2 linked regions of the Cricetulus griseus genome follow. The protein of the gene in region 2 purifies or fractionates together with the protein of the main gene of each other region. This does not show direct contact. Links are inferred from orthologs where the notes say so. Each region holds a gene or a part of one and is shown on either strand. Other genes may lie near its edges.

Evidence for each region. Proteins that work in one complex are often made in the same cells at the same time.
Region 1: the proteins of Ndel1 (region 2) and Dync1i1 purify together in Homo sapiens (affinity purification with western blotting; 3 studies listed by BioGRID and IntAct, with this or other methods). This does not show direct contact. The link is inferred for Cricetulus griseus from reciprocal best matches to the Homo sapiens genes NDEL1 and DYNC1I1.

The regions. Positions count from the first base shown.
Region 1 is NW_023276806.1:218,952,308-218,958,684, forward strand, and holds part of Dync1i1 (cytoplasmic dynein 1 intermediate chain 1), read right to left. Parts: intron 4,006-6,377; coding exon 3,872-4,005; intron 233-3,871; coding exon 88-232; intron 1-87. UniProt on the Homo sapiens protein: Acts as one of several non-catalytic accessory components of the cytoplasmic dynein 1 complex that are thought to be involved in linking dynein to cargos and to adapter proteins that regulate dynein function.
Region 2 is NC_048600.1:82,726,349-82,732,725, forward strand, and holds part of Ndel1 (nuclear distribution protein nudE-like 1), read right to left. Parts: intron 5,801-6,377; coding exon 5,652-5,800; intron 3,879-5,651; exon of another isoform or gene 3,771-3,878; coding exon of another isoform or gene 3,745-3,770; intron 3,016-3,744; coding exon 2,879-3,015; intron 1-2,878. UniProt on the Homo sapiens protein: Required for organization of the cellular microtubule array and microtubule anchoring at the centrosome. May regulate microtubule organization at least in part by targeting the microtubule severing protein KATNA1 to the centrosome.

The sequences.
Region 1 (6,377 bases), on a different chromosome or scaffold from region 2:
GGTACGGTTATTCTCTGCAACTCCCCCAGGGGGAAACATCCTCATCCCCTGTGTACTATAGGACAGTTTCTATCCAGGCATCCTTACCTTTGTGGTCCACAGTTTGACGGTCCAGTCAAATGAGGATGTGACAAACAGATGAGAAAAGTCGATGGGACCCACTGCCATATGGCAGTTAATTCCCGTCACTGGTCCTTGGTGACCTTCAAAGACTTCACCAATGCCTGCTTTGCTGCAGAGAGCAAACACACATCATTTCAGTGATCTTTGCAAAGCAAAGACTGATTAAATATAACAGCGCTCACCTCTGTTAGAACAACCATACACGTAAAATGAATAAAAAACTGAGCGGTTCATATTTAGGAATACACACATTTATACATATTTGCCTATAATCACGAGTAATAACAAAAGAGGCCACAAATTTGAAGGAGAGCAAGAGGGGGTATATTTAAAGTTTAAGAGGGAGAAATGATGTAATAAAATTATGATCTCAAAAATAAATGAAAAAATGATTAAATAAGAAAATAATCATACAAGATCAAGAATAAAGCCATTTTCACAGCAATTTTGACAGGGAAAACATTGACAGTTAAGAAATCTTAAGACTTAAATAAGAAACATTTTTATCATTTGTCTGTTTGCATCGACCTTACAGATTTCTTTGTTTTGGAGACACTACTGCGGTGAAACAAATGTGCTTGAGTCTCACGAGATTCTTATTTATGATGCAACAACCCCTGAGGTGTTCAAGCCCCATTTGAGTGCCCTCTGAGGACTTTACTGGCTATACAATTCAATAACTCTTTGAATGAATAGTTGCATAGTCCTCCAAGGAAACTTCTTAAACTAAGTTGACATGTCTAAAAAAATGTCACATCTGATGAAAACTGTAGTTGCTTCAAAATAATTCACATGGTATCAATAAAATATAGAAAAGAGATCTTTCCATTCCATTGGAAACTGAAGGGAGATTAGAGATTCAATTTGTAAATTCCAGAAGCAGAGCTATCTTACATTTCTTGTTTCCAAGTGTCTAATATACAATAAATACTCTATAAATGTTTGTTGAGTTAAATTACAAAGGAAAAAAGAAAATTTATGCTGCTTAAAAGAAGCACACTTGAGAAATAAGGATGCACATTTTACAAGTCTTCCTCTGGCATGGATTATTTAACTGAACTGGGATTATTTCCAGCCTTCTCTTACTACGTAATAGCCTACATGCAGTCATACACAATTAGGCAATGCTTAGAAAATATACCCACAATATTATATTTAAAAGATTCACATGCATGAGGCTGTAAGTATGACAAACATGTAGGGATTGTGGAATCTCAATATTATGTCACTAAAAGCAAAAATGAATTCAGTTAGTAAAACATTTGGGCCCTGAGCACCAGTGAGTGTCAATGTGCTGAGTAAAATTTGGAATCATGAGCAAAGCACTGCTGAGTGTCTTCCGTGTAACCAGCCATTCCTCTCAGTAAAACTGCTAACAGGGCTTCCAACGTGTGCTCAGCAAAATGTGCCCTGGTGAGCAGGAACAGCAGATCTGTGAAGTGGCCCCTGGTGGGGTTCAGCTTGTTCTTAGCAGCATCCTGAGAGGCTTTACAGGGTGCAAAGTGAGGATCTCCTTTAATTTGTGGAATTGGATTTGCACTTTACATTAGGTGAAAAAATAGAAACCCCCTAGCTCTCCCCTGCAGCCCTAAATGACCTGTTTAACATTATTACAGAGCCAGCACTTGCTACTTTATGACCTTACCAAAATTTGCATTTTATAGTTCAAATGGATGGACCAATGTCAAAAGCAAAATCAGTAAAGGCATTTGTGGTGTGAGTCAGAGGCACATTCTTTTGAACAACAATGCAAAATACTCTGGGCCTGTTTGCAATAGCCACAAAATAAAAATAGCCTTCATTTAGATGGTGACTCACTTAAGAAATCTGGAAGAAAATCAGAATGTACACTCCAGCTCATAAACACCCTGAGTATGCACACCCAGGCTGTAGCTGAATTGGGTTAACCAAAAGGCTGTGTTGTTGATCTGAGTACACACAGAGAAGGAACTGTGGCCATGCGTCTGACTCATTGGATCTGTGTGTCACATACCAATTATGGCATCTTTATGGGTGCTGCATGCATGTATGCACGTGTTAGTCTCACTGGCATCAGTTTCCTGACAAGAACCAGGTTTAGCCGGGTGGTGGCGCACGCCTTTAATCCCAGCACTTGGGAGGCAGAGGCAGGCGGATCTCTGGTCTGAGTCCGGCCTGGTCTATAGAGTAAGTTCCATGATAGCCAGGACTGTTATATAAAGAAACCCTGTCTTGAAGCCCCCCACTCCCCGCCAAAGAACCAGGTTTAAACAGCACCTGTCTACGTCTACGTAGAGCATTCAGCAATACACTCTGTTGAGAGGAGGCGAGCAGCAAATGTCTGAGCAAATGAATAAACTGATCCTATCTTTTTGTGTGTGGGTTTAGTCTGGGTTTTATTGTTACAGAGATGCTGGACATGGACCTAACTTCCCCAGTCATCTTTAAATCCTATGAGCAGGGCAAAAACTGCTTCTCTAGACACAAAAACAATGGGACTATCACAGCTTGTGTTATTAGAGTGGAAAAATTCACGTAGCTGAGCTTAAACAATTTGTAATTCCTTGTTAAATCTAAGTAGCCTGGGATGAGTGCAAGAGATGAAAAACTCATTGGCCAAGAACTATGAAAGCGCAAGAGAAGTTAAGCATCAGTGTGGATGCGGGGATCCTTTCAAAGGATGAGAGGCCCACCTGTTAAGTCCGAGTGTCACAAATCCACTTTGTTACAGCTGACTTCAGAGGCATCCACCAGTATCTCGTGGGAGCTACTGCACAGTTCTATGTGTGTTTCACACTGTTTCAACCTTTCTGACTTGGAGGATCTTTTGTTTTGTTTTGTTTTTGTTTTCAAGATAGGGTTTCTCTGTGTAGTCCTGGCTGTCCTGGAACTTGCACTGTAGACCAGGCTGGCCTTGAACTCATAGAGATCCTCCTGCCTCTGCCTCTACAGTTCTGGGACTAAAGGCCTGTGCCACCACCACCCCGACCACTACCACCTGGCTTGGAGGGAGGGTCTTAAGGTACTTCTTTCATTATTTAAATACTGTCATTTCTTTATTTCTTATTTAAATTTCAGCCCTTCACCTATTAACTATGTACCAGGTTCTGGGGCAGGAAATCAAAGAAGAAATGGAAACAATTTAACCAGAGAAATATGGCAGAATAAGGACTGATGAAGACTGATGGAAACAAAATGTGATGGATACTATTGCAATTGTATGCAGAAGAATATATAAAGTAGCCAGCGTGACTGGCTAGGGTTCTCTCTTGCTTATCTAACTTCAGTTGCCTTGATGGTTCTTAAGCAACTATTTACTTTTGCATCAGTCTTTACCCTCAACAAGGACACAGGTACCTTGCACTTTAGTATATTCTTATGATGGTATCTGATGCTAGACCAAGTAGAAAACAGAGGAACTGACTCATGAAAGCACGCAGGGAGGAGGCAATATTTGGGGGTTGTTAATCTCTGAAGGGTACATGGTGGGAGCCTGATGGTATGTGTGAAAAATTAGTCTGGCAAGGAATAGGGAGTGTGATGGGCTCCGTGAAGAAGTCGAACATTTTCTTCAAGGCAATGTGAAGTGTCTGAAGGTTTGTAAGTCACCAGGGCCCCAGACAGATGTGTGCTTTAAGCTATTAGATTTGAGGTCGTACATTGTAGTTCTTCAGAAATAACTATCTTGCAAAGCAAGGTGGTTATAATCTAGATGGCAAGAATTTGGAACATGAAGACCATGTCATCAGAAAGAAAACAGAAAAATCACCTTCCATGACGACAAGCTGTGTAGACGGTACCTTCCTCACTGCCAACCACGAAGTTGTTGACATCTCCCGTTGGGAAAGCCATTCCAGTAACAGCGACAGGCTTGGACTTATTGTACACCAGCTCCATGCTCTCCTACCAAAACATGGTGTGGTTACATTTCCATCTGTCAACTCCTCGCCATGCCAAAGATAGCATGGAAAAATCATTTGGCTAAATCGTGTTTGCTTTTCACACAGCGCTACAAAAGACCCCCACTGTGCTAGAAGCCAGGCTCTACTAGAAGCCCCTGACATCCATGCTGCTCCATGTCTCTGGTTTCAGGCCGGCTGGATTTCATCAGCGTGTGCCGCCGCTTCCCCAGCCAGGCAGAGATGACAGGTGAGAATTTTGAAACTAATGGTGCAGAAACTAAAGATAATACTGTAATGATTACGCTTGTCAGCTCCAGGCTTTAATAAAACACACAATACCCTTGTATTTACAAACATTTTCAAAATCAATTGTTCGTGAGAATACACGTGTATTAATATCAGATGTACTAAACATATTTGTCATAGAGGCACTGTGGGTCCTCCATGAACTGAGAGACCAGGAAATTGTCACTCAGGTCATAGAAATGAGAATTCTACAGGAAGTAGACCCCGTGAAGGGTAGCTGTTGGGTGTACAGGCTCTGAACTCACAAAGAAAGGCATTTAAGTAACTGCTTCAGATAGTACATGAGTCTTTATTATGGGAAAACTCTCTGTTAAATTTAGAGAGTATGTCAAAAGACACACATGCTTCTGGGGGCCGAAGAGATGGTTCAGTGGTTAGAGCACTGAGTGTTCTTCCAAATGACCTGGATTCCATTCCCAACACCTGTGTGAGGCAGCTCACAATTGCCTGTCACTCCAACTCAAGGGGATCTGATCCTCTGACCTCTGTGACACCTCCACACACACGGAATCCACTCACACAAACACACACGACTTAAAACAAGTGTCTAAAAAAGACATTGTGTTACATTAAGTTTAATGACAATGAAGGGTAATAACAACACCCCTCATTGTTCCTGGCTATTTACATCAAGCAGTCCATTTTGTGTATCTGAAGGTTGGCACAAACTATAGGTGGACTTATACGAGAACTCAGACTTTCCTGTGCAAGTCAACCAAGCTATTTTGGCCAGAGATTTCATCAATTGGAAAACCATGAATTGGAAATCCTTGCTGACAGGGTATAGTCCCAGCGACCCTGAAGCTCCATGTAGTACTGACCACTCATGATACCTCCACATTGACAGCGTTGCAGCAGGCTGACTAGAGGGGAGAGTGCCTTGACAGGAACATAGAAAACAGGAACGTCCGAGGTTCTGCCCCATCTCTAAAGTTGGTGGTAAGGAAGGAAATGAATGTTGGTCTCTCACTGGGATGGGGGTGGCAGGGGGAGAGGGGTAGGCAACTGAGGGCACTTATCCCTGCCCTCCATGGAGACAAGACTATGAAATACTCCATCTCCATGCAGAGCCGGACATCTGTGGGCATGCTAACAATAATAAAAAGCGGGCTCGGGGCTCCCACACCACTGACTTAACCTAAACAAACACATGTTTAATCAGCAAAATGGGCAATTAAAAATTCTCAAATAGAGGGTTTTGCTCTGGTATCTGTTTATAATCTCCAGGCTTTTAAAAGAAAACAACACATGGCTGAGAATTTTAACACAAAACCATAAACTATCCACACACAACTCCAGGCCTGTCTAAAACCAGGAAGCTGAATTGTGACCTGTTTATTATTGCGCTCTCTCTCTCTCTCTCTCTCTCTCTCTCTCTCTCTCTCTCTCTCTCTCTCTCTCTCTCTTCCCCCCCCCCCCCCCCCCCCGCCCCTAACGTTATGTGAAAAACTTAGCGTTAGTTTTGGCTACATCAGTAGAGACTTAAATGGAGTCTTTACAATTTCCACATGTCCTTATATATCTTGAAACTAGTCCTCTTCAGAAATTGAGTGGGGAACATTATAGTGCTATCATTCCAGGGGAGGGGACAAGAATTGTAAGACTGGGGGGTAATTTTCTGGATATTTCTCATATATTCTCCAGAGACTATTCCAATGTACTTTCCACATTTTAAGTTGGGGGAGAATGTTACATTTTTTCACACAGAGACATGTGGGAAGCATGAGCATGTCTTGCACACATGTGCTCGCACGTGTGCATGCACTCAGACGCCTGCCTCTAGCGTTCTTCTCTACCCCAGTCCTTTGTTTGGCTTCTGTTGCTGTGATCAGTAGTGGTTTGGAAACACTGGAACCTTTTCGTTTTCAACTTCTCACTTATTGAGCAAGGAATGGCAGGAGCCATGTTCACAAACATTCCAGAGAGGGAACACAGGCGGTTGTCTAGGGCACAGGAACAAGCAACAGCTTGGGTTTCTGTTTTGCTGGGATACTTTTCCTTAAGGCCAAGATCCCAGAAGGTGTTGCTCTCCAGAGCTCCAGCCTCATTTGCATTGCTTCCCAACAC
Region 2 (6,377 bases):
CCCCTCCCCCGAAACATCCCACCTGCCCCTAGCCATCCCAGTAAACGTAATTTTTAAAAAGAATTTTAAAATGCTAAACCTCAAGAGAACAGAACTATGCCCAAAGGCAAAAAGAAATTGATCAGTGAGGGCTGGAAAGATGGCTTTTCCACAAGACAAATTCAGTTCCCAATCCATGTCAGACGGCTCACAACTGCCTATAATTCTAGCTCCAGAGGATCTGATATCCTCCTTCTGGCCTCTGCAAGCACCTGCACACAAGTAGCATACACATACACACAAAATAAATCTTTAAAAAAAAAAAAAAACAAAAAGAGCAGGGTGCAAAATAGAACTCATAGTGAAACTAAATAACACAAAACAAAGTCCTGAAATTAACAAATGTCCTGAAATTAATAACACAAAACACTCCTAACCAACTCGTTCCCATATATATCTGCATATATCACATTTTGAAATAGTAGTTTCAAGACTATTTTACAAAAAACAATGAAGTAAAAAAAGTTTTGTGATTTTTTTAATTTTTTACTTTTTTTTCCCACAAGGTCTCATTATGTAGTTCTGGTGGGCCTGGAACACTCTATCAGTGAAGCTGACCTCAAACTTATAGCGATCCAACCACCTTTGCTTCCCAAGTACCAGGATTAAAGGCACGCACAGCCATACCATAGCTTTTTTAAACCACTGCTATGAAATCTTTTTTCAATACTGAATTTTTAATGTTTCCATTTACACAACTAACCTACAGAATTTCTGTCAAAAAAGAATAGGAAGATTCAGATCGCTGTGAGCTCAAGGACAGCATGATCTACATAGTGAGTTCCAGGATAGCCAGGGCCATGTACAGAGACCCTATCTCAGAAAAGCAAAATCAAGCCAGGCGCCCGGCATTGGTGGCGCACGCCTTTAATCCCAGCACTCAGGAGGCAGAGGCAGGAGGATCTCTGCGAGTTCGAGGCCAGCCTGGTCTCCAGAGCGAGTTCCAGGATAGGCTCCAAAGCTACACAGAGAAACCCTGTCTCAAAAAACCAAAAATAAAAATATAAATAAATAAATAAATAACATAATAAAAAGAAATAACACTTGATTAAAAAAAAAAAAAAACAACAAGCCAGGCAATGGTGACACACACCCTTTAATCCCAGCAGAAGGTAGAGGCAGGAAGATCTCTGTGAGTTTGAGGCCAGCCTAGTCTACAAAGTAAGTTCCCAGGACAGTCAAGGCAAATAGAGAAACCCTGTCTCAAAAAGACAAACAAAGATAGATAGATAGATAGATAGATAGATAGATAGATAATATTTAAATAAATATTTTTTAAAAATCAGCTAACACAGACTTTTATTGTCCAAACTTGACAGTGTAGAGGGAAACAGATTTCTGTGAGTTGGGAGTGACTATGGTTTACATAGTGATATTCAGGCCAGCCATAACTATACCGTGAGACCCTCTCTCAAAAAGCAAAATAGGAAAGATGTTAAATACAATTTTCTATAAGTAAGAGGCTGGGAATGTAGCTCAGGGATAGAGAGCACTTGCCTGGCAGGCATTAAGCCCCACCACCTCAAAACAAATGAACAAAACAATGAGCAAGACTGGGGATATAGCACAGTAGTACAGTGCTTGTCTACCATGCACAAAGTCTTGTGTTCCATTTCTAGCACTGCAAAACAAAAGCTATCAATAAACAATACCAAGTTAATATTTTACATATTACATAATCTAAAGTAGTTCTTCAGACACTGAAGAGGTGGTTCAGTAGTTAATAGAACACTCAGCTCTTCCAAAGGACTGGGGTTTGAGTCCCAGCACCCCAATGGTGGCCCACAACCATCTGTAACTCTGAGTCCAGAGATCTGATCTTTTCTAGTTCCCTAGGACACCCAGCATGCAGGCGGTACACATACATGCAGTCAAGACACCCTTACACATAAAATAAACTTACAAAAATAAAGAAATCTTTTTAAAATTCTAATTTTAAAAAAGTTCCAAATGTCACCACCCTCAGAAAAAAGAAAATAAAAAGGCATTTGAAAATATATAAGAGATGACATAAAATTAAAACACACTTCCTTTAAAACTCCCCTCACTCTTCCTCAGAAGCATAATAAAATTCAGATTATAAAGAAAACAAGATCAAGAGCAGTAAATGCCCCAACTGCTAAGTCATCTCTCTAGATCCAAAAGTCTATTGAAAAACTTGTGATGGCATGTATATTCCTATATTAAGCAGAAGAAAGGGAATGTGTATGCACACTGGTTTGCTTATAGGAAATAAGTCAGGAATTATACAAAGGAAGATAGAAAGACATATTTATGCACAACCATAAAAAACTGAACCAAATATGTCACACCGTTAGTGGGCTTTCCTTCTTTATAAAATTCTGAATTTTATTGTGCTTCTGGAGACATAAGTTTTAATTAAATAAAGTGAGTACTGGCTACATGTATAATAAACAGCAACATATATAAATACATGGTTCTATGTAGATAACATGAAGGTATTTAAATAGAATCAATACAGAAAAAAAAATCCCAAATGAAAGCAGTACTACCTTGGAAAAACCCAAACTCTCTATGCCTCACCTTTCTCATCTACAATATGGATGAATAATAACTACCTTGTAGCACTGATGATAGGTTGTGAAATAAATTACCAGGGGAAAAGCAATATGTAGTGATTAAAAGATAGGTAAATTCATGTGAGACTAGAGCTTCATAGAAATTGAGGGCTAGAGACATAACTCAGAAGCAGAGTGCTTACCCAGCATGCTCTAGGTCCTGGGTTTGATTTCCAGCACCATCAAAAGGGTTGATGCTTGGCTTACTCAGGCTCGAGGACAAGGCAATGGATAAATACTTGCTAAGTTATTACACTTACCTCTTGCTTCATCCTTTAACCTTTGTACTGAGACCAACAAAGATTCCTTTTCATCAAGTTCACTTTCTAAAAATGCATTTCGTTCAATGGCCTGATTTAGCCTTTGTTCAAAATCTTCCAGTGAAACTATTGTTGCCCTTTAAAAAAAAATTAAAAGTTATGAATTAAATAGCATGAACAAACAGCTAATACAAAGAAAACAGTTTATCTCCTGCCGTTCCTGACCCAGTCAGTCTGACCCAATTTGAAGAATGATCTCACTCCACCCAACAAAAATTAGCATGTACCCACTCTGTGGCCTCCCATTTCCTGCTATCTGCTACAGAAATAAAATTCCCCAACCTAAAGTTAGAACTCAGAATGCCAATTCTAATCTTATCAGTTACAGTAGGCTGCCAAAATGTCTCTCCAAAGCCTTTTAGTCTTTGGTCCCCAACAGTCTCCCCTCTCTTGCCTTAATTCTTTTTTCTCATCTGGATTACTGCTTCATAGTTTTACAACAACTCCTTGCTTAAACTTCCCAGTATTGTCAACCGGGCAGTGGTGGCACACCCCTTTAATCCCAGCACTCGGGAGGCAGAGGCAGGCGGATCTCTGTGAGTTCGATACCAGCCTGGTCTACAAGAGCTAGTTCCAGGACAGCCTCCAAAGTCAGAGAAACCCTGTCTCGAAAAACCAAAAAAAAAAAAAAAAAAAAAAACCTTCCCAGTATTGTCTTCTCAAATCAATCAGATGTTACCCTTTGTAAAGAGACGCTCAAACATAGCACACAGGGTTACTCCCAACCTGGCCTTCCATTCTCATACCCTTCAGCTGTCACTAGACCTGCCAATGAAAGCAAACTCTTAATGAAATAGTGCAAACACCTTCTTGCCTCCAGCCTCTTCACCATCTCTCCACGGTGAATTAACTTTTCTTCTTTGCACACTCAGCTCCAATTTGTAAAAGGGCTCTCCAGTACCCACAGGTGCTCTAGCTGCTCTGAAGCAGCTTGTACATTCTTCCTCCTGGAGCATTTATCATAGCAGGTGTTCTTGGGGTCAGCTCCAAGGACAGTGACTAGCATCATGTCAATCAACAGTCAACTGATAAATACTAAAGAAAAAGTACTAGGCTTGGGGCTGGAAAGATAGGCTCAGAGGTTAAGAACACTGGCTGCTCTTCCAGAGGACCTGGGCTAATCCCCAGCAACCATATGGTGACTCACAACCATCTTTAATGACATCTAGTGCCCTCTTCTGGAGTGCCCGCATACACGCAGTCAGAACACTGCATACACAATAGATAAATAAATGCTTTCTTTTTAAAAAGTACTAGATGATAATTGTAAAGTAGTAGGAGTTAGGTTTAGAATGGTAGTAAACAGTAACTGAGACATGAAAATCTGACAACAGTAACAACAAGCCACTGTAGGATGAAAGCAGTAATTAAAGGATCCACTGGTCAATATTAAAAGTAAAGAGACTATCCAGGCCATGGTGGCGCATGCCTTTAATCCCAGCACTCCCAGGAGGCAAAGGCAGGTGGATCTCTGTTGAGTTCAAGGCCAGTGTGGTCTACAAGTTCCAGGACAGGCTCCAGAAAAACCCTTTTTTCACAAAGCAAAAAAAAAAAAAAAAAAAAAAGGAAAAAGACTGAAAGTGTGAAGATAACTGCTGAGTCCAAGCTTAAGATATACAGGCCTACACAACAGGAGGTAAAGACTGAGAACACACAAGGAAGAGAGGACATGTGAGGCACATTTCTGCTTTGCTTTTTGATGTCAGGATCTTACTCTATAGTATGGCAGAACTGGAAATCACTCCATAGCCCAAGGTGACCTCAAACTCATAGAAATCCTCCTGCCTCAGTCTCCAAGTAGTGGGATTACAGGCACAAACCATACTCAGCTGTGAGACACATCTTAAATTTGGAAAAAAAAAAAAAAAAAAAAAGACAAGTAGGGTATGGTGGCGCATGCCTTTAGACCCAGCACTCTGGAAGCAGAGGCAGGCATATTCTGTGAGTTTAAGGTCAGCCTGGTCTACAAAGCAAGTTTCAGGACAGCGAAGGCTGTTACACAGAGAAACCCTGTCTTGAAAAACCAAAAGTAAGCCGGGCGTTGGTGGCGCACACCAGCACTTGCCCCCCCCCCCCCCCCCCCCCCCGCAGAGGCAGCCGATCTCTGAGTTCGAGACCAGAGACCAGCCTGGTCTCCAGAGCGAGTTCCAGGATAGGCTCCAAAGCTACACAGAGAAACCCTGTCTTGAAAACAAAAACAGAAAGAAAGAAAGAAAGAAAGAAAGAAAGAAAGAAAGAAAGAAAGAAAGAAAGAAAGACCAAAAATAAAATAATAAAATAAAAATAGAGTACTTGCTGCACAACAATGAGTACCTGATTTCAGCTCCCAGCACCCACATACCAAACTGGGTATGATTTTGTGTGTGTGTGTAACCCCGGCACTATGAAGAGCAGAGGTCAGAGGATTGTGAAAGTGCTTGGAAGGACTTTATTTAGGAGGATAAAGGCTTTAGGGAGATTTGTTTTTGAGCTGATCTGTAACTTGCTAGGCTGGTCTCAAACTCACAGAGATCCATCTGCCTCAGTCTCCCACGTGCTGGGATTTAGGTTTGCACCACTAAGCCTGGCATGTTGTTTTGTTTCAGTTTATTCTTTTGGTTCCTTTCAATTCAATCTTGACATAAGATACTGAAGGGGGAAACGGGCTCCTAGGGTCCAAGGAAAGCCTGAGCTGACAACTGGTTACCCTCATGAAGCGCCCAGCATCCTTTACCTTTTTGCTCTCTCCAGGTCATCATTGGCCTGCTCCAGCTCTCTCACATACTTATGCAGTTGCTCCTTAATGGCCCGGGTCTGACTTAAGTCATCTTCTAACACTGAGACCTGCTTGTAGCTCTGTGCATACTGATGCTCTAGTTTCTCCTGAAAGAAGGGGAACACAGAAAAATTGGTGGTTAATATGTAATCATCTATTAATAAAAGAATTTCCCCGACGGGCAGTGGTGGCGCATGCCTTTAATCCCAGCACTGGGGAGGCAGAGGCAGGCAGATCTCTGTGAGTTCGAGACCAGCCTGGACTGCAAGAGCTAGTTCCAGGATAGGCTCCAAAGCCATAGAGAAAAAAAAAAAAAATTTCCCCAATTAAAGGAGAAAATAAAAAAGATCAAAGAACTTCACCACAATCTAAGCTAATAGCATACCTCCTCCTTTTTGCAATATTTTAAAAACTACATGGACAGAACCATTCTAAATGTCTTTATTCATGTAAAACTTATATAGTACCCATTCTCAAAAAAAAATGATATTTCTGAAAAGTAAAATAATAGGATCCTTGTCTCAAAATCTAAAGGTCGGGCTAGAGATGACTCTGAAGTCAAGAGGAAGTGATGCTCTGGCAAAGGACCAGAGTGTGATTTCCAGCATTCATGTCTAGTGGTCACAACCACCTGTAACTCCAGCTCTAAGACACCCAATGCTCTTTTCTATGGCTCACAACCAC